Oryctolagus cuniculus: one gene and its partners. Each later gene encodes a partner of the first gene's protein in a complex. Links are inferred from orthologs where the notes say so. Each region holds a gene or a part of one and is shown in the gene's direction. Other genes may lie near its edges.

Region 1 (10,704 bases):
AGTCAGCACATTTTTTCAAGGCTCATCCCCGTGGCAGCGTGTGTCAGTACTTCATTTTTCTGATCAGACACTATTCTCCTGTATGGGTGTGCCACATTTTACTTATCTACTCTGCAATTGATGGACTTTTGGGTTGTTTCCCATTTTTGGGCTATTTGTGAGTAATGCTCCTGTGAACATTTGTATACAGGTTTGAGTGTGGTTATAAATTATTAACTCTCTTGGGCATATGACCTACAAGTAGAATTACTGGGTCATAAGCTAAATTTATGTTTCACATTTTGAGGGACTGCCAAATTGCTTTGTAAAGTGGCTGCACAGTTTTACATACCAACCAGCAATGTACAACGTTTTAATTTCTAAAGACTCCCGCCACATTTGTGATTGCTTTTTGATTATAGCCGTCCCAGCTTGTGTGAATTGGAATCGTGTTGTTTTGATATGTATTTCCCCAATGGCTATGCTATTGGGAAGCTTTGCTTGTACTTAGTGGCTATGTGCATGTCTTCTTTGGAGAAATGCCTACTCAGATCCTTTGCTCATTCTTTAAATGGATTATTAAGTTTTTTTTTTTTTTATCATTGAGTTGTAGGAGTTCTTTGTATGTTCTGGCTAGAAGTCTTCTTTTTTAAGATTTATTTATTTATTTGAAAGTCAGAGTTACACAGAGAAGAGAGAGAGAGAGAGAGAGAGAGAGAGAGAGGTCTTCTATCTGCTGGTTCACTCCCCAATTGGCTGCAGTGGCCGGAGCTGTGCCAATCCAAAGCCAGGAGTCAGGAGCTTCTTCCAGATTTCCCATGTGAGTACAGGGGCCCAAGCACTTGGGCCATCTTCTACTGCTTTCCCAGGCCATAGCAGAGAGCTGGATTGGAAGTGAAGCAGCTGAGTCTCGAACCAGTGTCCATATGGGATGCTGGCACTGTAGGCGGTGGCTTTACTTGCTAAGCCACAGCACCAGCCCCTGGCTAGAAGTGTTGTAACAGATTGTGAAGACTACAAAATCCATTCTGTGAGTGGTCTTTTCCCTTTTTTGATAGCATCATGGGAAGGAATCAGTTCTCAACACATCACACTTTGAACCTCAAACTCATCAAAGTTCTGTATTTATTAGTTGGACTTTTAGTCTGGTGTCTAAGAAAACTCCAAGATACTCTTTTATTTCCCAAAGTTCGAGAAGCCAGAAGCTGCTGAAGACATACTTTATTTATTTTGATTTGTCCTCAATTTATTTAAGAACACATTTTCTTGGGGAGTGGTTAGCCTAGTGGTTAGCATGCTGAGTGAAATTCCTGCATCCCATATTGGAGTGTCTGAGTTTGATAAACTGCTCCGATTCCTGACTCCAGCTTCCTGCTCAGCAGACCCTAGGAGGCAGTGATGATGGCTGGAGTTATTGGGTTCCTCCAACCCACACGGGAGATCTGGATTATGTTCCCTGTTCCTGGCTTTGGCCAGGCCCAGTCCTTACCATTGAGGGCATCTGGGGAGTGGACTAGTGGATAGCATTGCTGTGTGTGTATGTGTGAGTGTGTGTGTGTGAATGTGTATGTTTGTGTGTGAGAGTGTGTGTGTGTGTGTGTCTTTGCCTCTAACACAAGTTTTATGGTGTTAGGCTGTGATTCTATTTTGGTAAATTAAAAAGTCCATGACATTCACTCCATGAGGGTCTCTGCCTTCATGGAGTTTACCACGAGGGACATCCTGTAAACAAATGGGAAAAAAAGATATAAATTGGGATGCATTTTATATGGAAAAGGAACAGGGAGGTAAGGGAGAGATTAGTCAGGAAGACTTCTCTGAGGAGGTGGCATTGAAGCTGAGACATGAGGGCAAGGACTCGGCCTGCGCAGAACAGGGCAGTAACACTCCGCGTGGGACAGAGAACACACTGAACCATTTTGCCTTTACTAGTTTTATGTGGGATGCTGAATTGAAGTGATATTTTATATAAAAGATATCTCAGCATATGTTGACTCTTCAATCAGCATTCAGGATTTGGTTGGAAGAGACCTCTCATTATCTTACTGCGGAAGTCTTCGGGGAAATCTTATAAAAGAATGGCTTATGAAACTGATTTGGAAAAGGAGAATTTTGTATCTTTCTCTTCTTTTGCAAAAACAAATTAAATGTTTGCACAAAATCAATGTCATGTTTTTCACTAGATTGTTCCCTATATGATGATAAATAGCGAGACATTACTTTAACAATTGTTCTGTTTTCTCTGCATCTGACCGAATACTGCTCATAGCTCAATATCAGCTGTAGGAGGGAAAAAAAAATCTTAAGAGGGTAATTGAAAAATGCATTTGTTGGCAGTAATTTCTACTCCTAAATGTACAGTAAGTTCCGAGCTTACGAGCAATGGGAAACAAAAAACCTTTGCAATAAATAATATATTTGATAATGAACATGAGGAAAAATGCTTTCCATTGAAGAGTTCAAGTTGAGAGGGACTAAGTATGGGAAAAGACCACTCAACAAGGACAGCTTTTGCATTAGGATGCAGGCGGAACTGAGAGAGCTATAGTTGGTTTTGGTTCTCACTCCTCCCATGCTGGTCTAGGGCACATATTTTCAGACCTACCTTCCTTCCTTCCTTCCTTCCTTCCTTCCTTCCTTCCTTCCTTCCTTCCTTCAAAGAAAGAGTTCATGCTTCTCTTTTTTATTTATTTTTTATTTTTATTTGACAGATAGAGTTAGATAGTGAGAGAGAAAGAGAGAAAGGTCTTCCTTCTGTTGGTTCACCCCCCAAATGGCCGCTACGGCCAGAGCTGCGCCAATCCGAAGGCAGGAGCCAGGTGCTTCTCCTGGTCTCCCATGGGGTGCAGGGCCCAAGCACTTGGGCCATCCTCTACTGCCTTCCTGGGCCACAGCAGAGAGCTGGACTGGAAGAGGAGCAACCAGGACTAGAACCCGGTGCCCATATGGGATGCCGGCACCGCAGGCAGAGGATTAATCAAGTGAGCCATGGCGCCGACCCTCTTACTTTCTTTTTAAAAATATTTATTTATTTGAAAATCAGAATGACACAGAAAGAGAAAAAGGGAGAGAGATCCTCCATCTACTTGTTCTCGTGCCAAACGGCCTCATCAGCCAGGGATGGGCCAGGCCAAAGCCAGGAGCCCCTGGAACTCCTTCCTGGTCTCCTACGTGGGTTGCAGGGACCTAAGTACTTGGACCTCATCTGCTGGCTTCCAAGGCACATTAGCAGAGCAGCCGGGACTCGAACCAGTGCTCTAAGGGTGCCCATGTCCCAGACCTTTCTTGAACGCCAGTTTTCAAAGCTTGGTTCTCAGATTCTGTGACCATGGGTGATTACTTTACAGTGTTTCACTAACCCTTTTATCCCTCCCTCCCTTTTAAAAAATATTTATTTATTTGACTTGAGTTACAGAAAGAGAGGGAGGGACACAGAGAGAGGTCTTCCATCCACGGGTTCACTCCCCAGATGGCTGCAACAGCTGGAGCTGGGCCAGGCCAAAGCCAGAAGTCGGGAGCTTCATTGTTACCCAGTTTTCCTACCTAGGTGCAGGGATCCAAGCCCTCGGGCCATCTTCCACTGCTTTCTCAGGCTCATTAGCAGGAAGTTGGATCAGAAGTGGAGCAGCCAGGACTCGAACCAGCATCTGAATGGGTTGCTGGCTTCGTAGGCCGCAGGTTTACCTACCACACCATAACGCCGCCCCCTCGCTCACCCTTTTCAGTTCTACAGGTGGGAATGAGTATCCGCATTTTATATACAAGGGGCTTCAAAAAATTTGTGGAAAATCAAAATTAAAAGATGATGTGTATTTTCCATGAAGTTTTTGAAGCCCCCATCCTATGAGTAAGCTGAGCCTCAGAAAGGTTAACTAACTTTCTCAAGGTCACAGAGCTTAGCCGGTGTCTGAGCCAGGGTAAATAACCAGAGACTTCAGAATAATCGCGAAAACACTCTGGAGAGCAACCTGCTCTAAGCTACTGCTAGCACTGCGCATGCCGGGTCCCGAGATGCTCAGGGGAGCTGTATAGCTCTCAGTTTTGCCCAAACAGAGCATCGGTCTCATGGGAACATTCAGGCACCGGTTCGTTCACAGTCTCCTTCCCCAATATCTCTTGTCCCTGGAAGCAATCTGGGTTCTTGGCAGGTGCTAGACAGCAAATTATTTCTCCTAATGGTGCCTCAGTGGCCTCATCATAATAAGGACCAGCTCCCACAGTGTCAGTCTGTAGACAAGGGAGTTGTTAATGCATTCATCAACAGATGGATTTCGGAGGAATTCAAATCCTACCCTGAGCAAAGCATCAGTGTTTCCGTTTGTTTTTTTTACTGTTGGGAGCTGGACTTAATAACTTCCTACCTGATCCTCTCTGCTGCCCTGTTTGTCTTCTCTTCCTTTTTAAAAAGCACTTTTCTTGTTTCCATGAACTTTTCGTCGCCGTATGAAGGCTGCTGCATGGCAAACCAGGAGGCTGGGGACGAGGCACAGAAAGTGGGGAGGACCCGGTGCTGTCCCCTGAGCGGCGGAGCCCTGCTCCGGGTGTCGTCACGACCGCTCCCCGGCCTGCGCCTGGTTCGCACGAGTGCACAGCAGCGTGGTGAAAACCCTGCTCACACCCACTGCCCACTCCCGCGGCCGCCTCGCGGTGCCCTTCGCAGGGCCCAGGACCGTGCAGGGCGCCCGGCTGGATGAATGAAAGGTGAGCAGCGCGGCGAGCCAGGAGCAGCCCGCGGCGGGACCCAGGCAGCAGGCGAGCGGGAGCGCGCGGAGCCCCACGCCTGTGTGCGATGCACGGGGACCGTCCCAGCGGCGGGAAGCGGGGCGAAGCAGCGCGGACACGGAGGGAAGGCCCCGGCAGGGACCACAAAGCCTTGCAGGAACCCGGGGGCGAGACAAAGAGCGGCGGCCGAGGCCGACGGTGGGAAGCATCGAAAAGTGGCCGGGACGAGGGCGGACGCGGAGGCAGGGGCGCGCGGGGCGGGCTGCGGGCGCCGAGCAGGGGGCGGGCGGCGCGCAGGGGCGGGCGCCTCAAAGTTGCTCGGCCTGCGCCGGCCGGGCCGAGGCGGGCTCGGCGGCTGAAACCCGAAACCTCCCGGCCCCGAGCGCGGCGGGAGGAAGGAAGCGGCGGCGGCGGCGGCGGCCGAGGCGGGGAGGCGGCCCGGCCGGGCCCTGGGCTGCGGCGGCGGTGAGCGGCTGGCCGGGGGGGCGCAGGCCGCGGGGCGCGCTCGGGGATGGAGCGGGGCTGAGTTCATTGTGCGGGGCGGGCGGGCGAGGGCCGCGGGCCGGGGAGGGTCTCCGCGCCCCCTCCCCCACGCCGCCCCGCCCCCACGGTGCGTCTCGGCTCCCTTGCGCCCCTCGAGGAGCCGGGGGTGGGGTGGGGGGGCTGTTTTTCCGGCCGCGGCGCGCCTCGCCTTGGAGAGCTGGGGCTCTTTGTGGGGGAGATTTTGGGGACACGCCCCTCCCTGGCGTGCAGAGGCTTCTCGGAAGCCCACCCCATTCTGCCGGGTGCAACCTGCTCCATTTCAGGCGCCGCCCAAAGCCCCAGCCCCATACCTACCCCCCCCCCCCGGAAAGGAGAGCATCCGTGCGTGCCCGGGACACAGCCGACGGGCACCAAAGACTGCGCGGCCCCCTCTGGATAGGGGTGTGGGGGGAGAGCCCGCGACCCCGGGCTGCGATCGGCGAGCACCAGGTGAGCGACACTCTCCAGGCGGGACAACGCGCCCAGTCTCCCCGAGCCCGTCGGGAGGCGCGCCCCGAAGTCGCCGGGCGCCGCGGGGTGCGGCCCCTGCCCCTTGGATCTTGGAGAAGGGGAGGCTGTGACTTTGGCGGGGGGGGGGGGGTGGTTGCGGGGGTCGGAGAGGACTTGTCAGCCCCGGACGCCTGGCGGCCAGAGCTTACCCCTGGCGCAACCTTTGGACAAAGGCGTTTGGGATGAAAATGTTTGCAGGATGACTGGGGATGGTGTTGAGCGTTTCAGAGCGATCTGCTCGCCGGTAATAACCACACGGCCCTGGGCCGGCATCACTTGCCAGCACATCTTTGAGGCTATTTTTGTTCGTTATTGTTGTCTTTCATCCCTTTTGCAAACGTGCTTTCCAGAGCAGGTCTTTCCATCTTCCCTGGGTGGGGGGTGTGGTTTTGGAGGGAAAGGACCTAGGTCCCTGGATCTGTCCAATGGGGATACCGGGTGACCTCAGGGGAGCCTGTCTGAGCGTGCTGGGGCAAGTCAGCCGGCCATTTCTCCCCCTGGACCTCCACATGCGCTAGGAAGAGTTACTGCTTCCGAGAATGGGCGGCTGTCCTTAGAATCCATCCAGGTTACTGCAGCCACTGGGAGCAGGAGAAAAGACGCAATTCCCAGGCCCTCCGGGCAGAAGGGGGAGTGGGAGCATCCCCCTACCCCCCATGTATCTGGGTCGCTGCCACCTATCTTGTCCCTGCCGGGGTAGCCGTCTTCCTGTCCGGGTCCCCTCTTAACTTTATGCTTGGAAGGTGCTGGCAGCACTTTCGTATGCACTTTTGCATTTCGTTCTGACAACAGCGCAGGGAAGCGCTCTTAGCCCATTTGATAGACGGGGAAGCTGAGACGCTGTGAGAGACGTGGCGGTCTCTGCCCAGCTGCCCAGCCTGCAAGACTGGACTGAGGTCTTTGAGCAGGCAATGCTTTTCACATAGGAGCGAGTTTTAACTGAGGACCGTACAGCTTCACGGCACCCCTGCACCTTGTTGCAGTGAGACTAGGAACCCCCCTCCCCCATAATTTTGGAACTAGATCCCCGGCCTCAAGGACCCACATCACTTTGTGTTTGAGCCAGCCCAGTGTGCTGGGAGACTTCTGAGAGGCAGGCAGCACCGCGTTGCTGTGAGGGGTGTCAGCTCTCTGTTTGGGTTCTGTGGGAGATGGGATGGGCTGAACTGGAACTGACCTCAATGTCAGCAAAAGGAGTGCTGGCTGGGGCCAGCCTGGAAGGCAGTCGGGAAGAGGCGGGTGGGCAGGAGAGCCTGGCTGGGCGTGTGCAGAGTCCGTTTACAGAGCTGGTGTTCCTGTGAGGGAGGCAGCTGCAGGTGCAATGAGGCTGCAGTCCCTCGTGGCCTGATCTGAATTTTGGGGGAAGCTGTAAATTTTTATGGAAAAAAGTTCTATATTTTTAAAACCGTCAGCTAATTCAAAACATTCTTTTAAAAGATATGTGGGGGAACTGGGTTAGGAGTGCAGGCTGGTTGTGGACTATGGACTGTGTGGACTGGCGCTTTGGAACCTTTGTGTGGACCCTCAGAAGTTGTCGCTGTCATTGAGTGGCAGTAAAGCACCACTGGAGGCGAGGCGGGAGAGGCATCATTTTGGCAGTTTTGCTTTAAGAACAGCAAGCATCAACAAAGCAAGAGCGAGCCAGCAGGGCTACCTGGAGTTTGCAGTACGGCTTAACGGCACGATTCTGCACGTGGTTCGCACAGTTCTAGTCTCCTTTATGATTCGGGTCCTGCACTAGGAGATGGCTTGCACCGAGTTTTTGTGTGTTTCCTTCCATGGCGAGTGCTGGGGCATGAAGGAGGGAGTGTTCAGTCTGCCCAAGGGTAAACTGGGAGGAGGGAGACTGGAACTGTGTTTTGCTTTGAGTTGGTTTGAGACTGAAGTACTCGGGGAGTGAGCCCTGGGTGAACAGGGCAGTCTGAAGTTGATACCCTGCACCCCATCCCTGCTCCTTACAAACAAATGCCTTGGGTAAGCCATATAAAGCATGCCTGCAATATAGTCCTTTTTTAAAAAAATAAGAGCTGTTAAAAATGTTTAAAATATAGAAATACAAGGAAAGATATTAGGTCTCCCCTCACCCTACCATCCTCCTCACAGGTAACCAGTTTCCTGGTCTTTTTCAATGCCTAAATATATGCCTAGAAAATCTGGAAATATAGATGAATAGATAATGCATGGTTTGTTGCTACAATAGTATGGTATAGTATGTAGTGTTATAGTATAGTATTATAGTTGATATTCCAGTATATAGTTTTGTTGATATTATAGTATAGTTTGTTGATATTATAGTATACTATATAGACATAGCAAATATACAACATATATACTATACATATTTTCTGCATTTCCAACTTTAGGACCCATGTGAATATAGTGAATAGAGTTCAGTTAAATACCTAAGGGGGTGGGCATTGTTGTGCAAGTTAGGCTGCCCTTGCCATGCCCACATCCCATAGTGAAGTCCCTGAGTTCGAGTCCTGGCTCTGCTTCTGATCTGCTTTCCTGCTAATGCACACACTGGGAGGCAGCAGATGATGGTTCAAGTACTTATGTCCCTGCCACCCAGCTGGGAGGTCCGGACTGAATTCTGAACTCCTGCCTTCCTCTTGGCCCAGCCCCAACTGTTTCAGGCATTTAGGGAATGAACCCGTAGATGGAAGATTTCTCCCGTGCTCTCTCTCTCTGTTGCTCTGTTTTTTAAGTAGATGAAAATGAATAAATAAGCATTTAAAATTAAATGGGTAAATAAATAAAACTTACAAAACACACAGGGAGCAAGTGTTTAACCTAGCCCTGTCCCACATCAGAGTCCCTGGATTCGATTCTTGGCTCTGGCTGGTGACTGCAACTGTCTGCTGATACAGACCCGGGAGGCAGCAGCCGTGGTTCCCATGATCAGGTTCTTGTCACCTGTGTGGGAGACCCGCACTGCGTCTCCCATTCCTAGCCCAACCCCAGCCCCAGTTGCCAGTTGTTGTGGGCCTTCAGGGAATGAACCAGTGAATGGGTGCGGTCTCTCAAGTAAGTAATAATACATTCTTTTTTTTTTTTTTAAAACAGGCAGAGTGGATAGTGTGAGAGAGAGACAGAGAGAAAAGGTCTTCCTTTTTTGCCGTTGGTTCACTCTCCAGTGGCCGCCATGGCTGGTGTGCTGCGGCCGGCGCACTGTGCTGATCCGAAGGCAGGAGCCAGGTGCTTCTCCTGGTCTCCCATGGGGTGCAGGGCCCAAGCACTTGGGCCATCCTCCACTGCACTCCCTGGCCACAGCAGAGAGCTGGCCTGGAAGAGGGGCAACTGGGAAAGAATCCGGTGCCCTGACCGGGACTAGAACCTGGTGTGCCGGCGCTGCTAGGTGGAGGATTAGCCTAGTGATCCTCGGTGCTGGCCAATACATTCTTAAAATATGTAAATGAGCCGGCGCCTTGGCTCACTAGGCTAATCTTCCCTGCGGTGCCAGCACCACGGGTTCTAGTCCCAGTCGGGGCGCCGGATTCTGTCCCGGTTGCCCCTCTTCCAGGCCAGCTCTCTGCTGTGGCCCGGGAGTGCAGTGGAGGATGGCCCAAGTGCTTGGGCCCTGTACCCGCATGGGAGACCAGGAGAAGCACCTGGCTCCTGGCTTCGGATTGGCGCGGTGCGCCGGCCACAGTGCGCCGCCCGTAGCAGCCATTGAGGGGTGAACCAATGGAAAAGGAAGACCTCTCTCTTTGTCTCTCTCTTTCACTGTCCACTCTGCCTGTCAAAAAAATATGTAAATGGAGGTCAGGTACAATAATACTCTAAGGGTTTTTTTTTTTTTTTTTTGATTTAACAATATGACTCAGGAGTCTTTCATTATCAATTTCAGGTATATTTCCTTCTTTTTAATGGCTACATAGTATTTCGTAGTATAGATTCATTGTCCTGTATGTAAACATTCTCCCACTGATGAACTCTTGAATGTCTCTAACTTCATCTATCTGTGTATTTTTATTTGTATGAGTACCCGTGGAGAATTTCTGGATAAAATTACTCCCAGGAGGGTTGACTATTTGACACTGTAATTAAGTCCTGGCTTGGGATGCCTGCATCCCATCATGGAGTGCCTAGCTTTCAGTCCTGGCTCTGCTCTCCACTTGTTTCCTGCTAATGCCTTCTGGAAGGCAGCAGGTGGTACCTGTGTTCCTACCACTCTTGAGGAAGACCCAAATTGAGTTCTTGGCTCCTGACTTCAGACTGGCCCAGCTGTGGCTGTTTGCGGGCACTCGGGAGTGAACCAGCTGCTTGGGAGATCTTTCTCTGTCTGTGTGTCTCTTTGCCTTTCAAATAAATAAGACATAAAAAAATTTTAAAAAATTAAAAAATTAGTCCCAGAAGTGGAATTGGTAATTCATAGGGAATATACATTTTAAGCAGTTATTTAAGCAGAATTCTCTTTATTTGTTGAGGCCCAGGGAGTTGTGCAGAAAAAGAGATTGAGTTTATTTAAGTTTACTTGACTGGGGACAGGTAGTGTATGTGAGAGGTACAGCTTCAGACGTTATACAAGGTAACATCCTCCTCCCACTCTTGTTCCCCAACTGCTGTGTTTCCCTTTTAGAATTCAACTCATTTTGCCAGTTTTTGTGTATTTTTTCCCAGACAGTCCATGCACCAAAGGCAAATAAAATGAATCTTCTATTTCCTCCCCTTCAAAAATATTGTTGCACACCATATATCCTGTTCTGCATGTGGCATTTTAAAAGTGTAACCTAGATGTTAGAGATCATTCCATATCAGTTATGTGCATTTTAGTTCTGATAGACTCGTCCAAATTTACCCGTCTTTAAAAAACTTAAATTTTGTACTTCCCCTAATTGCACCGTCAAATCTTTTTGCCATTTTTGTTGTTGCTGATGTTGAGTTATTTGTAGTTTATCAAGTTATGAGGCTTTTTCTGGATTCTGGACTTTCAGTTTGTTCTTGTTAATAAATCAAATATCTTGCCTT
Region 2 (4,226 bases), on another chromosome or scaffold:
GTGGCTGCGCTTGCCGCAGCTTCTGCGGGCTAGCAGCGGAAAAGTAAAGCGACTGCCTGGGGACGGTCCTGGCGTGGCGCTGGGGGCTGCGGGATGACGGACCCGCCCTGCGGCCGGGGCCGGAGGCAGATGCCGCGCGCCTCGGCTGCTGTTGGTGCGGTGTTTGCGGGTTCCGCGCGCACGGGGTTGTGCGGTCTCCGAGACCACCCCCAAACCAGCCATAAACCCCGCAGCCGAAATCTTCCCCAGAGCGGAAGGATGTGTGGCGCTCTGAGACCTGCGCCCCGTGGGGCTCGGCTCCCCAGCGTGTCCCGCGACCCCCATTCCGTGCCGCCGCGGCCGCTACACTGCGGGGAGGCGGGGGGCTTGGCTTGGTTCTCCATGGTGCAGTCAGGAGACCCCCATATTGCGTCGCATCATTGTCCACAAAAACAGAGGGACCCCTTACTGCGCCGCCCACGGCCACTGCGGAGACCCCAGGAGCCACGGGGGTGGGCGATGCTAAAGTGCCTCGCCACGGCGGACCGCGGCAAGTGTACCCAAGGCGTTTTACAAAACAAACTGTGCGCTCGCTCTCGACAGCCCCCCTCGCTCCTCATCCTCCTCCCTGCCCTTCCGGTGGGCTCACGACCACCTGTCGCATTCCCGCGCGCGCACGCCACTGTCCCCGGGCATCTAGAGCCTTACGCTTGGCTCGAGATCTGGGGCTAGGGGCTTCGGCGCAGGGGTGCAGGGGTATCCTGGGGTGAAGGAAGAAAAAGAAAGCCCTCTGCAGTCCCCCGCCCCCCGAGGAGAGTCGGCGCGGGCGGGGAGGGAGCGATTCTGCTCCTGTTCTCCAGCATCCCGAGGCCCACGTCTTGTGTCACGTGTCTCGCTCGCAACGCAGGAGAGCTTTGTGTGGCCAAGGGGAGAAGCGAGGAGAAAGGCTCCAAATCAGTCAGGGAGAGGCGTGGAAGGAGCCCAAACGTCCCTGCGAGGCCTGCGCTCGCCAGCCCCTTACCCAAAGCCGGGCCGGCGGTGCAGGGAACCAGCTTGGCACCGGGACCTGCGTCCTCTGGTGGCAGAGAGAGCGCGCGACTGGCGATTTTCGGACCGAATCGGCACGCTCCTCAAATCCAAGCAGTCTGTGTTGGCCTGGAGCAGAGAGAGAGAGAGAGAGAGAGAGAGAGAGAGGAGGGGACGAAGGCCGAGCAGGCCGGGTGGGGGCCTGAGGGAATCACCAGTGGCCAGGAAGGAGCCAAGACTTCACCAGCCAGAACTGCACTGCCTTGGCCATGGTCTGGGGTTCTAGGCCCTGAGTGCGCTCGGGAAGTGAGGCCGCAGAACTTCCCAGCTGGTACTTTTTTCTTTCTTCCTTTCAAATAATTTTTTTCACCCTAGTTCGGTTGGGTGCTCCGTCTCACGGAGCCCCCACATCATTGTAAGAGGCCGCCACCGTGTTATGGGCCTGCGCTACTGCCTCGACGGCAATAATATGTCAGGACAACGCCATCTCCCCCCTGAAGTCGGGGAGCAGCCTCCACAGCCAGCCTTGGAGGCCCCAGGGCCAGCTGCCCCCGGTGCTGGGCCTGGCCCAGCCGAAGAGATGGAGACCCAGCCGCCTGCCAGCGAGCCCGTCCCCGCACAGGCTGGCGCCGAGGCCTGTGAACCCCCTGAGGTCTCCGGGGGCACCCTGGAGGGCCTCGCCGTGGCAGCTGACCAGGAATTCGGAGGCGATGGAGGCTACAGCCCACCTCCCGAGGAAGCCATGCCTTTTGAGGTCCAGCAGCCCAGCGTGGGAGGCTTCTGGCCCACCCCAGGGCCCATCGCAGGCCTCGAGGCCTCTGTGGATCCCGGAGTCTCGGGCAGTGCCGGGCCTGGCCTGGGAGGCTACAGCCCCCCACCAGAAGAAGCCATGCCCTTTGAGTTCGAGGAGCCTGCTGGCCAGGGAGGCTGCAGCCAGCCAGCATCGGGGGTCCCCGACCTCGCTCCCGGTGGCACAGACCTGGGGGTCCCTGGAGCTCCTCCCGGGAAGTCCGGGGCGCTCAGGCCTGCCAGCGCTGGCCTTGGAGGAGGCTATAGCCCTCCCCCCGAGGAGGCTATGCCATTTCAGCTTGATGGAGAGGCCTTTGGGGACGACAGCCCACCCCCCGGGCTCCCCCGAGCGCTCCCACAAGTTGCCAACGGCGACGGTGGCAGCAGCGCGGCAATCGCGGTCCCGAGTGCGGTCTGCCTCGCTCCCGCCACCGACGCGCCACCCCTCTGGGTCCCAGAGGCTGTCAGAGCTGCTGCTAACTTCGCGGGCGCCAGCCCCCCGATGGAGATCGCCGGACCCCCGCTCGAGATGCGCAGCGCCCCCGTCGGGGTCGACGACGCTCCCGTCAGCATGGACAGCCCCCCAATCGCGAGTGATGGCCCGCCCATCAAGGTCTCCGGAGCCCCAGATAAGAGGGAGCGCGGCGAGAGACCCCCAGTTGAGGGTGAAGCAGCCGAGATGGAAGGAGGCTCGGTCAGCGCCTCTGCGGAGAAAGGAGAAGTCCCCTCTCCGGGGGACGGAGCCTCGGGCGCCCCAGCTGGGGCCGCTCCCGCCGCCGGAGCCGCTCCCGCCGCCCCGGCGGAGCCCGAAGCCGGGGGAGCCCCGGCCGCTCCTGGCACTGCGGCCGCCGGGGCAGCCCCGGCCGATGCCGAAGCCGACGCCGACACCCGCGCAGCCCCCGGCGCCGCAGCCGCTCCTGATGCCGGGGCAGCCCCTGCCGCCGGTGGAGCCCCTGGTGCCCCGGCCGAGCACGCCGCAGCCGCCGGGGCCCCCCAGGCAGCCCCCGCCGCGCCTGCCTCCGGGGCCAGACGCAGGCTCCATCTGCTCAGACCCCCCAGCCCCGAGATCCAGGCTGCTGACCCGCCTACTCCGCGGCCTGCTCGCGCGGCTGCCTGGCGGGGCAGAGCTGAGCGCGGCCGAAGCCGCCGCCGCTACGACGACGAGGGGTCGACCAGCGGCGACGCCGACTCCTCCAGCGGGGACGAGTCCGAAGAGCGGGCCGCCGGCTGCTTCCACTGGTTCCAGCGCCGCACACGCCGCCGCCGCAAGCCCCGGCGCAACTTGCTCCGCAACTTCCTCGTGCAGGCTTTCGGGGGCTGCTTCGGTGGTCGATCTGAGAGCCCCCAGCCCAAGCCCGCGAGCCCCAGCAAGGCCAAGAAGGTTTCTCTGGCAGAGAAGCGCCGACAGATGCGCAGGGAGGCCATGGAGAAGCGCGCCCAGAAGCGCGCCGAGAAGAAACGCAGCAGGCTCATCGACAAGCAGCTGCAGGCCGAGAAGATGGGCTACATGTGCACTCACCGCCTGCTGCTTCTAGGTAACGCGGCGGCGGACTCTGCCCAGGGGCAGCAGCCCCGCCGGGGACCGGGGAGGGGGCGCGGGGCGCGGGGCTCGGCCGCGGGAGGAGGGGGCACGGCCAGGAAGTTCCACGGAGGGACCCTAACTTTGCCCCGGGCGCGGGAGGGGAGCTGGGGCGGGTTCGGGTGGCCGAGGTGTGTGCCCTCCAGGGAGAAAAGTGGTGCCGAGCGACACTGAGGGTCGTTTCCGGCTGGACAGGCCAGCGCCAGCGACCGTAAGCTGGACAGGCGGGGGCTTCAGGTGAGCCGGGAACTGCCGGAAAGGGGCGCCCACTCTCCGCCGGCTTAGGTTTGTTGGGGCCGCGGTGGGCTAGGGCCATCGGGGAAGGCGCGCCCCCGCCTCGCCTGGCACGGCTTGTTCTCGGCCAGCTTGTCGTTGGTGTGTGTCGGTGTGCGTATTCTCTGTGTCCGCCTGTGCATGACACGCTCAAGTGTTCCCCATCCCCGGCAACCCCCCCATCCCCGGATTACCCGCCGACCGTGTACTTGTACTTGGGGACGGGCTGTCGTGATGCGCGCCATGGCGCGGGCTGAAACTTTGCGCGTCTGCACACTCGTATGACACCTGTGCGCCGGCACTCCGCGGCGGAACCCGGCTGGGCCACCGGCCCGGGGGGGCGCCTCGGTAACCTTGTTCCTCTGTGTCTTTCTCTCTTTCTCCCTGTGCGCTAAGTGTTTCCTCACTTCTCATTCGTTCGCCAAACCCTCCCGCCTTTACAGTTGAAAAACCAGACACGCAGCACAGGTATCTGGGGCATTGGGGCTGCACACTGGATTTCAGCATTGCGCACAAGCACACTCACCTGGAGGGGGATGGGAAGTGGCTGGGGTGGGGGATGGAGGACATCTAGCCTGCT
Region 3 (10,731 bases), on another chromosome or scaffold:
ATCCACTGTGCCAAACATTCACCCCAAATGGAATGTTATTTAGCAATAAAAAGGAATGAAGAACTGATCCACTATCCAAAATGGATGAACTTCGAAAACACTGTGCTAAGTGAAAGAAACCACTCACAAAAAGCCCACAGATTATATGATTCATTGTGGCTTAGTGGGTTAAGCAGCTGCCAGCATCCCACACGGATGCTGGTTTAAGTCCCGGCTGCTCTGCTTCCAATCCAACTCTCTGCTGGTGTGCCTAGGAAGGCAGCAGAGGATGGTCCGAGTCCTTGGACCCCCATATGGGAGACCTGGAAGAAGTTCCTGGATCCTGGCTTTGGCCTGGCCCAGTCCTGGCTGTTGCAGACATTTGGGGAATGAACCAGCAGAGGGGAGAGCTCTGGCTCCTGGCTCCTGCCATCGGATCAGCGCGGTGTGCCGGCCGCAGCACGCCGGCCACGGCGGCCATTGGAGGGTGAACCAACGGCAAAGGAAGACCTTTCTCTCTGTCTCTCTCTCTCACTGTCCACTCTGCCTGTCAAAAAAAAAAAAAAAAAAAAAAAAAAAACCAGGGAGAAAGTAAGAGAGGAGAAGAAAAATTATTATAAGACAATTATCGGGGCTGGCGCCACGGCTCACTAGGCTAATCCTCCACCTAGCGGCGCCGGCACACCGGGTTCTAGTCCCGGTCGGGGCACCGGATTCTGTCCCAGTCGCCCCTCTTCCAGGCCAGCTCTCTGCTGTGGCCAGGGAGTACAGTGGAGGATGGCCCAAGTCCTTGGGCCCTGCACCCCATGGGAGACCAGGAAAAGCACCTGGCTCCTGCCTTCGGATCAGCGTGGTGTGCCGGCCGCAGCACGCCGGCCACGGCGGCCATTGGAGGGTGAACCAACAGCAAAGGAAGACCTTTCTCTCTGTCTCTCTCTCTCACTGTCCACTCTGCCTGTCAAAAAAAAATAAAAATAAATAAGACCATTATCTTGGATGATGAGATTTCTTAGAAAGAGAGTAAGGGAAAAAAATGATCAAGTTTCTAGATTGAGATGGGATGTGCATCATCTCATATATTTGTTTTCTGTGTATGTGGTGAGAACATTTAGAAATAACTCTTCTAGCAGTTTTGAAATATGCAATACATATAGGGTTCCCTTAGTAAACTAAAATTAGAACTGCACCTGAGGCTGGTACTGTGGTGCAGCAGGTTAACGCCCTGGCCTGAAGCGCCTGCATCCCATATGGGTGCCGGTTCAAGTCCCTGATGCTCCATTTCCCTTCCAGCTCTCTGCTATGACCTGGGAAAGCAGCAGAGGATGGCTCAAGTCCTTGGGCCCCTACACCCACGTGGGAGACCTGGAAGAAGCTCCTGGCTCCTGGCTTCAGATCAGCCCAGCTCCAGCCATTGCAGCCAATTGGGGGGTGAACCAGCGGATGGAAGACCTCTCTCTCTCTCTCTCTCTCTCTCTCTCTCTCTCTCCTCTCTCCTCTCTGTGTAACTCTTTCAAATAAATAAATATTTTTTAAAAAAAGAACTGCATCTGATGGTAGTGATCCCACAATTGGATATATACCCAAAGGAATTGAGATCAGGGTGCCCAGGAGAACAAACGTAACCCCAAGTTTCATTGCAGCACTGTTCACAGTGGTTAAGGTGGGGACTCAGCCTAGGTGTCCCTCAGTGGATGAACAGACACAATGTGGTGTATATACACAATCACATGTTACATATTCAAAAATTTCCAAGGAGTATCAGAATGCAAGCTGTTGAACTGATTAATTTATGTGATTTTAGAGCAAAGACTCCCTGGTGTCCACTGGGCTCTGAATCAGGTTGAGGACAGTGTTCATGACCACAGCCTCATCTTGGCCATGAGCAGCAGTCTGGCCCAGGCCAGTCAGTTGTTACTTCCAGTGCCCAGTGTTGGGAGCTAAATACATTCCCAGCTCACCCAACACAGACCCACTCCAACTCCCCAGGTGGGAACCCTTCTTAGATGCAGGAGAGAAGAGCCTTTCCTGCCAACGGCCATTTAGATATTTAGAACATCGTTCAACGGGCAATACAAAATTATCAACTTAAATATTAGCTTGCATTACATTTATTGGATATTGGATATTTATTCACCACAGCCTCCTGTGGCTGCTTTGGCAAGGTCAGGCCAAATGATTTCACAGGACTTGCACAGCCCACCGGCCAGATGGTCCCTACCTCTGAAGTCTTCCAAGGACACTCTCCAAATGGCACAGGCTACCACTCATCAGATAAATCAGCATCCCGACATTGATCACCCAATCAGTGAAAAAATATCTCAGCCCCAACCCTTAACAAATGTCATCTGTCAATTCTTTGACACAGCATGATTGTTACAAAACATACAAAAATATTAAAAGGATCTAGTTAAAAAATGCAAACTTTTAGAGATGTCCTTGCATCTTCTTGTGGAATCCCAGGAAATCACTGTACATACTCCCTGGATGTGTGTTCACTGTCTGAGCCCTCAGCCACTGGAATCCGGTGGAGAGAAGAAGCAAAGATCCCTTCTGGTCTCAGGTTCTTCTCAGCGTCTTCTGCGCTGACAGAGACAGGAAATAGGCAAATGCCCAGACTGTCTACAGCTTGGATTAGAATCAACAATATGCAAGGCTCCCAGGAGATCAGTATAATGAATATAATAATGAAGTCATTCTTGTTCATGAGGGAAAGGGTTGGAAATTAGGGCAAAAAGCATAAAGAAAAGTCCCCTAAAGTTCCACCACAAAAACACAACTCTGCTTATAACTCAGAAAGCAATTTCTCAATGACTGTGTCTAAACTGACATGCTTTTTCAAGAAAATGTGCCATCTGAGGGCTGGTGTTGTGAGAGCAGGTTAAGACTCTGCCCACAAAGCATGGGCATTCCATATAGGCACTGGTTTGTGTCCCTAACCCTGATCCTGCGCCACTCCAATCCAGCTCTCTGTTAATGGCCTGAATAAAGCAGCAGGAGATGGCCCGATTGCTTGGTTCCCTGCTACCCACATGAGAGACCCAGATGAAGTTCCCAGCTCCTGTCTTTGGCCTAGCTAAGCGATGGCCTTTGTGGCCATCTGGGGACTGAACCAGTGGATGGAAGATCTCTCTGTCTCTCCCTCTCTCTCTATGACTGTGACTTTCAAAATAAATAACCACATCTTTTTAAAAAAAAAAAAAAGTGTTGTTTTTATATGTGCTTTTCTTTGTTTATCAAGAATACTTTCCAGGTCACTAAAATTTCAACATTTTGCATTATCAAAAAATTGCACAGTATGTTTGCATTTTTAAAGTGGTTAAAATATAGTTCATGATTTCCTAATGTTCTGTGGAAATTTTCAAACATGTGCGAACAGAGTAGTATAATGAACCCAAATGTATCCATCCCTCACCTTCAACAATGATAAACATTCTGCCACTCTTCTGCCATCCCACACCCCACTAAATTTTAGGTGTTTTACATAAAATTTACATCTGTTGCAATGCACACATCTTAGGTTGTACGTTTTTGGAAAAAAAAAAATGGCTGACTCAGACCAAATACTGAATATATTTCGTCTCCCTCTTTTTTTTTTTTTTTTTTTTTTTTTGACAGGCAGAGTGGAAAGTGAGAGAGAGACAGAGAGAAAGGTCTTCCTTTGCTGTTGGTTCACCCTCCAATGGCCGCCGCGGCCGGCGCGCTGCGGCTGGCACACCACGCTGATCCGATGGCAGGAGCCAGGAGCCAGGTGCTTTTCCTGGTCTCCCATGGGGTGCAGGGCCCAAGGACTTGGGCCATCCTCCACTGCACTCCCTGGTCACAGCAGAGAGCTAGCCTGGAAGAGGGGCAACTGGGACAGAATCCGGCGCCCTGACCGGGACTAGAACTCGGTGTGCCGGTGCTGCAAGGCAGAGGATTAGCCTAGTGAGCCGCGGCGCCGGCCACGATTCTTTTCATTCAATACTAGGCTCCAGAGGCAAGTACTGTTATTTTTTTCAACTTGAATTAATTCTACTCCAGAACTTCACATATGAAGTATGTACTCTTCTGTGGCTTTTTTTTTTTTCACTCAGCATAATGTCTGTGTGATTTATCTATGTTGTAAAATTCATTATTAGTTCATTTCTCTTTATTCAAGAGTAATATTCCATTGTATAAATAAACTTAAATTTGTTTTTAATTTCTTAGTACAGATTTATTAACTTTATTGGACTTTTCAAAGAAGACAGTTGTGCCTTCCTCACTCCTCTTGGTTCCTGTTCTTCATTATTTCCTTTCTTCTACTTATCTTGTGTTTAATTTCTTTTTCTAGATTCACAGGGTATAAACTAAGATCAGTGATTTTAAGCCTTTCTTCCTTCCTAATGTAAGCATTTAAAGCTGCAAATATTCACCTAAAAACTGCTTTAGCTGCATCTCACCAATTCTGATAGGTAAGATTTTCATTCCTAAAACCACAGTTTAGCTGGAAACTTATTGTTTGATTTCCATATATTTGGGGATAACCTAGATACTTAAATTTTTCTAGTTTAATTCCATTGTGGCCAAACAGCATCCTCTGTAAGACTTTTAGTATTTTAGAATTTATTGAGGCCGGCGCCGCGGCTCAGTAGGCTAATCCTCTGCCTTGCAGCGCCGGCACACCGGGTTCTAGTCCCGGTCGGGGCGCTGGATTCTGTCCTGGTTGCCCCTCTTCCAGGCCAGCTCTCTGCTGTGGCCAGGGAGTGCAGTGGAGGATGGCCCAAGTCCTTGGGCCCTGCACCCCATGGGAGACCAGGAGAAGTACCTGGCTCCTGCCATCGGATCAGCGCGGTGCACTGGCCACGGTCCACTCTGCCTGTCAAAAAAAAAAAAAAAAAAAAGAATTTATTGAGACATCTGGCCCAGTATCTGTGTGAACATGCCACATGAACTTGGGAGGAGCATTGCTTTTTAAAATTATCTTTATTTCTTCAAAAGGCAGAGAGACAGATGGAGAGATGGAGAGAGATCTTCCATCTGGTGGTTCACTCTCCTAATGGCCACAGCAGCCAGAGCTGGGCCAGGCTGAAGCCAATGGCCAAGAATTTCATCCAGGCTGCCTACAAGTACTGGAGCCATCACCTTCTGCCTTCAAGGGTACACATCAGCAGCGAGCTGCCTGGGAAGTAGACTTGCCAGGACTGGAACCAGGCATTCCAATACAGGACACTTGTGTCCAAGCAGTGTCTTAACTGTTGTACCAGATGCCTGTCCCCATTCCAACCTCCCGATTTTTCTGTTAATGAGCCATCATGCTACAAGAACCAATTAGGACTGTGGCTTTGTTTGCTTCTTTCTTAAGTTCTGTGTTTCAAAATTCTGTACACACATTCATAACTGTTCTCTTCTTACTACAGCTTAACCTGCTGTGCCACAGTGCTGGCTCCTTGACTACTTTACTAATTCTCTCTTTATATTTGCAAAAATTCAGTAATTTTACTTGATGTATTTAAATGTGATTTTCCTTATACTTATCCTACTTCATGTTCTTTGAATTTTAGGATTTATAAGTTAATGTCTTTTACTGATTTTCAGAAATCAACGATCACTATTTCTTCCAATATTGTTTCTGCACCATTTTCTTTTTTCCTCTTTCCAGGACTCTAATTACACTCTTAGTGACCAGACAATATTGACCCCTAGGTCTTTAAATGTCACTTTTCTTCATTGTTGTTTGTTTTTTTGTTTTGCATAATGTACGATTTCAGTGGCTGGCGCTGAAGGTCAAGCCTCCACCTGCCATGCCAGCATCAAGTTCCTGCTGCTCGACTTCTGATCCAGCTCCCTGCTAATGGCTTGGGAGCTTTTAGTGGTACAGGGCTATTGGCACAGAGGCTGCTGAAAACCACTTAGCTCCTCGTCCCTCACTAACTCCCTGCCTAGCCCGTATCAATAGGGATGAAGTGGATGCGCAATGTGGAGACCCCAGGGAGGTAAAACGACCAGTAACATACCACACCAACCTTGAAAATCCCAGGTGTCTGCATCTAACCTCAGAGAGCAGCCATGTGGACTGTGACATCAGCAAAGCCACAGGCAGGGCTCCCCCTATGCCCCTGCCCTGGATATGTGTTCCAGTTACCAGAAATAAAACTTCAGTATTTAATATTTGCTCTACTGAGTTTCAGTTTTGCTTTGGACAATTATTCCTCCGATTTTCCTGTCCACTTCTCTTTTTGGAATGGAAATGTTTGTAACTCAGATTTTTTTGCAGGCTCACAACTGGAGAAATTTGCCTTGAATCTAATGTGAGATTTTGGACTTTGAAATTTTACTTTAATGCTGGACTGAGTCAAAACTTTGGGACTTAGGGGTATGGAAAGGTGCATATGTGAGAAGGATAAGAGTTTCAGGGGGCCAGAGGCAGAATACTATGGCTTGAATATATGTCCCCAAAACTCATGCAGAAGTTTAAGCTTCAAAGTCATGACTTCATAGCATTTAAAGTGTATTCACCTAATCTATTTACCATGTTTGAAGTTGGAGTCTCTAGGAGATGGGTGGATTGGACTGGGTCTTTTAAGATGATGTCTCCATGATTAAATCCTGGTGGCTGTTGCCGGCGCCGCGGCTCACTAGGTTAATCCTCCGCCTTGCAGCGCCGGCACACCAGGTTCTAGTCCCGGTCGGGGCGCCGGATTCTGTCCCGGTTGCCCCTCTTCCAGGCCAGCTCTCTGCTGTGGCCAGGGAGTGCAGTGGAGGATGGCCCAAGTCCTTGGGCCCTGCACCCGCATGGGAGACCAGGATAAGTACCTGGCTCCTGCCATTGGATCAGCGCGGTGCGCCGGCCGCAGCGCGCTAGCCGCGGGGGCCATTGGAGAGTGAACCAACGGCAAAAGAGACCTTTCTCTCTCTGTGTCTCTCACTGTCCACTCTGCCTGTCAAAAAAAAAAAAAAAAATCCTGGTGGCTGTAGGAGACACACACAGACACAGACGTGTACTTTCCCTGTCTCTTGTCATGTGATGCTCTGTGCTACCTCAAGACTCTGAAAGCAACAAAGTTATCATCAGATGCCAAACCAAAAGGCCTATTCGATCTCATAACATGAACCATCAAAATCCACCTCTTAATAAAGTCAATGTCTTGGGAATTTTGTTGTAGTAACTAAAAACTGACTAAAACAGTCCCTCTGCCTTCTACCCTGAAAATATCTAAAAGTATACCATAATTTTGGTAAAATATTTTGGATAATGTTAAGCCAAAAGCATTGCATAGTATATGTATTTGTTACTAACAAGGCACCAAAAGAAATGTGAATACTGGACCTCAACTTATTATTTAAATGTAATCAGGGGCAGGCTGTGTAGCACAGCAGTTGAGACACCACTTGGGAAACTCACATCCCATATCAGAGTGACTGGGTTCAAGGCCTCAATCTGCTTCTGATCCGGTTTCCTGCTAACAGACACACTGGAAAACATCAGGTGATGACTCAAGTACTTGGGTCCTGCCACCCACATGGGAGACCCAGATGGAGTGCCAAGTTCCTGAGTTTGACCTAGCTTAGCCCACGCAGCTTTGGATATTTGGGGACAGAACCTGTGAATGGAAGATCTTGGTCAATTTCTCTTTCTCAGTAATCAAATGTGATATTTATACCAATTGCCAACTGATAGCATACACTGAGAGCATGCTATTGAAAAGAATTTCTAAGTTGTGAGAATCAAAATAGAGTCGCTGTATCAACCCTAACAAAAAAATAAAATCAGGTTATGAAGAACATGTAATAGCCTAATAGCAACCATCACAAAAGACTGCCAGAACTACAGCATTACAACAGAGGCCAGTACAGTCTCACACACAAACTACTTCTCATTAACATCCATCCAGCAGTGCAACCTCAGACATCACCCTCATAATCACGGCCAAAGATTATTGTTTCAAAATGTTCCACATCAGTCTCCTCATTTTGGCCTTCAAAAACTTCCCCTTGCCTCAATGTGTTTGTGCTCATGTTTACTCTGGAAGATGTATTCCTATGGCATTGCTCCTTTATTCCCAGATAAATACCATTATTCTTTGGAGAATCTCTCTCTATAGATTGGATGGATGGATGGATGGATGGATAGATGATAGCTAGACACTGGCCTAATCTGCTATATCCACGGAATTTAGATGTTTATCATTTATAATATTCCACATCATTTTCCTCGAAACCATGTAACATCTGATACAGCAAGTTTCTTAAAAGCCATCCTGAGGTATTCACCTGTTGGAACTGCTCTGTAGCATGTGCACGAAGTAGGAAAGAACGCAGGAGGTGGGAGCGAGGGTTTGTACCTGCAGAGGATTGGAGAGAGCGTCCCCCGGTCTGAAAGGGCCTCCCTGCACTATCCTGGGTGTTGCAACTTCACATTCTCGTTTTAACGAGTACAAATAGCACACGACAAACACACGTGTCCCTTTTTACGTTTTAAGTTAGCTTGGAGGGTGTTGAAAGCGGTGCCGTGAACCTCTACATTGGAGATTTTGTTGTAGTCAACTGTGTAGTAGCGTTTGAGTAGGGATCAGGAGGGCGTGGACGAGCGTGCATGTGTTGTTAGCAGAAAAGGGGCACGGCCCAGAGATCTCAGCATTGGGGAACTGAAAGCCTTAAAGCCGGCGTCTCTATCCCTGCATCCGACCAAGAGCAAGGCCACCGTGGTTTCTAACGGCAGCAACCAAGGCTCCAGGAGGTGACCGCACCGCCACTGCACCACTGTCCGCAGCTGCGCGCCAGGCTCGCGCGGCGGTATTTACGGCAGCCGAGTTTTGCACGCGCGACGGTACTTACGGTAACAGGGCTGGCCAGGCCGCAATATTTACGGTAACGAGATGCAGCCCGGGCGGCAGTATTTACTGTAGCGGGGCTGGGGCGGCGGCGGGGTTTACGGTAACGGGGGCCGGGCTCGCCGAGGCCCGTCGGCTCGGTCAGCTCCCGGCGCCATCAGGTGATCTCCAGCCCGGGCGACCGCCACCTCCGGCACCCAACGGAAAATGCAAAATGGCCCTCGGGGGCAGTGAGGGGCCGTGGCCCTCAGGGGCCCGCCGCAACTCCGCCCCGCGGCCGGCGGACCGCAGCACCACGCCGGGTCCGAGAGCAGCCCCCTCGAGCCCCTCCGCGGGGACCCCGGCCTGAACCCAGCCGCCCTCGGCGCTTCGACCCCCTGTCCGGCGCGTCCCCTACGCCCACATGGGTCTGTGCTACAGTCTGCGGCCGCTGCTCTTCGGCGGCCCCGAAGAAGCCCCCTGCGAGGCTTCGGAACCGCCCGGGGAGGATGCGCGGCCGACGCCCGCCCCGGCCCCGGCCCCGGCCCCGGTCCTGGCCCTGGTCCCCGCCCGAGCATCCGCGCAGGCGGCGGGGGGCGACGCGGCCCGGACCCTGCTCCCTCGGGCAGGCGGTGGGAGCCCGGCGTGCGCGCGGCCCAAAGCGGCCCCGCAGAAGGAGAAGAGGCGGCGCGGGGACCAGCTGAGCGCCGAGGAGCGCGAGGCTGCGCGGGAGGCAAAGAAAGTGAGCCGGGGCATCGACCGCATGCTGCGCGAGCAGAAGCGCGACCTGCAACAGACGCACCGGCTGCTGCTGCTGGGTAGGTCCCGCGCGGGCGCCCTCGCCGGGCGTGGGGACGGCGGGGACGCGCGCAGCCCGCAGGGGTCGCAAGGGTGGCGGATCTCGGGGTGGGGGAAGGGGCGGGGATGGGCGACCGATCGCAGCCCGGGAATAGGGCTTTAAACGCTGATTGTAAAAACCGGCAGGGGTCTTTAAACTCTGGGTAGCATTTTTAACCCGACAATATTCACTCCAATGACACGTTGCGCGGTGGTTTTGCTCTTGTCCATGCCTTGTGATGATGGCCGGGTGGCTCGCCTCTTACTAATGAGTGTGCCTGTCTGGAAAAGGTCCCCCTTTTCGATTGACTGATTTCCATAGTGTACGACCCACAGGGATGTCCAGGTCAGAGTCTCATTTCCTGCCACAGTAGCAGTGCCATTGCTGTTCGCTCTAAGAACACAAATGAGATTTATAAGACCTTGAAGGCCTTTTAGCTTAACCACAGAGCTTTTATTCCAGCAGAGTTGTCGGTGGGTGTGGCTTGTTGCCTTTTGAGAAATTAAGTCAGCAGCTGAAGATGGGGCACTTGTGTTTCTCTGTGCAAGTTCAGCCTCGGTGCTGTGTGCATGTTTGTCCCTCCCGAGATCCGGCAGCCCAAGAGCCTGGCAGCCCCTTGTGCATTCTGCAAACAAGAGGGCGTACACCCACCCACCCACACACACACACAGCATTTTAAAGTAATGGCCCACACTGCTAGTGTTTTCTGAGCCTCGCTTTCGCAGGTGTTACTTGTGCTTCTACGATCCAGTAACATGGTGTGTGTACTGTAGAAAAAGGTGAAAACAGGCATGAATTCCTGACGCTACTTGTTGCTTTTAGGTTTTAAGAGAACAAAAATAAGATGGAGGCTTTTGACCCATCTTGTGGGATAGCAGGAAGGGTAATGGTCCAGGTTGCCCAGCTGTGCATAAGGAGAGTGTTAAGTGACTTGAGCAAGAAGCCTGCTCATAAATGGATGCAACCTTTACGATCTAGGGAACAAGGTATGTTGAGTTTGAAAGACTCACTGCAAGAATGAGTGGCTAAAACAACATAAACCTACATGCTGTATCCTGACGCAATATCTGAAATCTAAAACAACGGGAAGTTTAGGAGGGGGTAGTAGTACAGAAAAACAAAAAGTATGGTAGCCACTTATCC

The links.
Region 2: the proteins of GPR161 (region 1) and GNAS are in contact, whole or in part, in a cryo-EM structure (PDB 8SMV), measured with the Homo sapiens proteins. The link is inferred for Oryctolagus cuniculus from reciprocal best matches to the Homo sapiens genes GPR161 and GNAS. Residues at the interface, in NP_001254539.1 of Homo sapiens: Arg125, Ala128, Val129, Leu130, Pro132, Met133, Met137, Ile211, Val214, Ala215, Lys218, Ala219, Lys267, Ala268, Thr271, Ile272, Trp327; in NP_000507.1 of Homo sapiens: His41, Lys216, Val217, Phe219, Phe376, Cys379, Arg380, Asp381, Ile383, Gln384, Arg385, His387, Leu388, Tyr391, Glu392, Leu393, Leu394.
Region 3: the proteins of GPR161 (region 1) and GNAL are in contact, whole or in part, in a cryo-EM structure (PDB 8KH4), measured with the Homo sapiens proteins. The link is inferred for Oryctolagus cuniculus from reciprocal best matches to the Homo sapiens genes GPR161 and GNAL. Residues at the interface, in NP_001254539.1 of Homo sapiens: Arg125, Ala128, Val129, Leu130, Pro132, Met133, Tyr135, Pro136, Met137, Ile139, Ile211, Val214, Ala215, Lys218, Ala219, Lys267, Ala268, Thr271, Trp327, Asn328, Lys329, Arg332; in NP_001135811.1 of Homo sapiens: Ala41, His43, Lys203, Val204, Phe206, Phe363, Cys366, Arg367, Asp368, Ile370, Gln371, Arg372, His374, Leu375, Gln377, Tyr378, Glu379, Leu380, Leu381.

The regions. Positions count from the first base shown.
Region 1 is NC_091438.1:30,613,764-30,624,467, forward strand, and holds the start of GPR161 (G-protein coupled receptor 161), read left to right. Parts: upstream 1-4,455; 5' UTR 4,456-4,673; coding exon 4,674-4,680; intron 4,681-4,737; exon of another isoform or gene 4,738-4,899; intron 4,900-5,018; exon of another isoform or gene 5,019-5,166; intron 5,167-5,548; exon of another isoform or gene 5,549-5,673; intron 5,674-10,704. UniProt on the Homo sapiens protein: Key negative regulator of Shh signaling, which promotes the processing of GLI3 into GLI3R during neural tube development.
Region 2 is NC_091442.1:3,426,355-3,430,580, reverse strand, and holds the start of GNAS (guanine nucleotide-binding protein G(s) subunit alpha isoforms XLas), read left to right. Parts: upstream 1-1,426; 5' UTR 1,427-1,441; coding exon 1,442-3,329; intron 3,330-4,226. UniProt on the Homo sapiens protein: Guanine nucleotide-binding proteins (G proteins) function as transducers in numerous signaling pathways controlled by G protein-coupled receptors (GPCRs).
Region 3 is NC_091441.1:68,764,968-68,775,698, forward strand, and holds the start of GNAL (guanine nucleotide-binding protein G(olf) subunit alpha), read left to right. Parts: upstream 1-4,647; 5' UTR 4,648-9,174; coding exon 9,175-9,568; intron 9,569-10,731. UniProt on the Homo sapiens protein: Guanine nucleotide-binding protein (G protein) involved as transducer in olfactory signal transduction controlled by G protein-coupled receptors (GPCRs).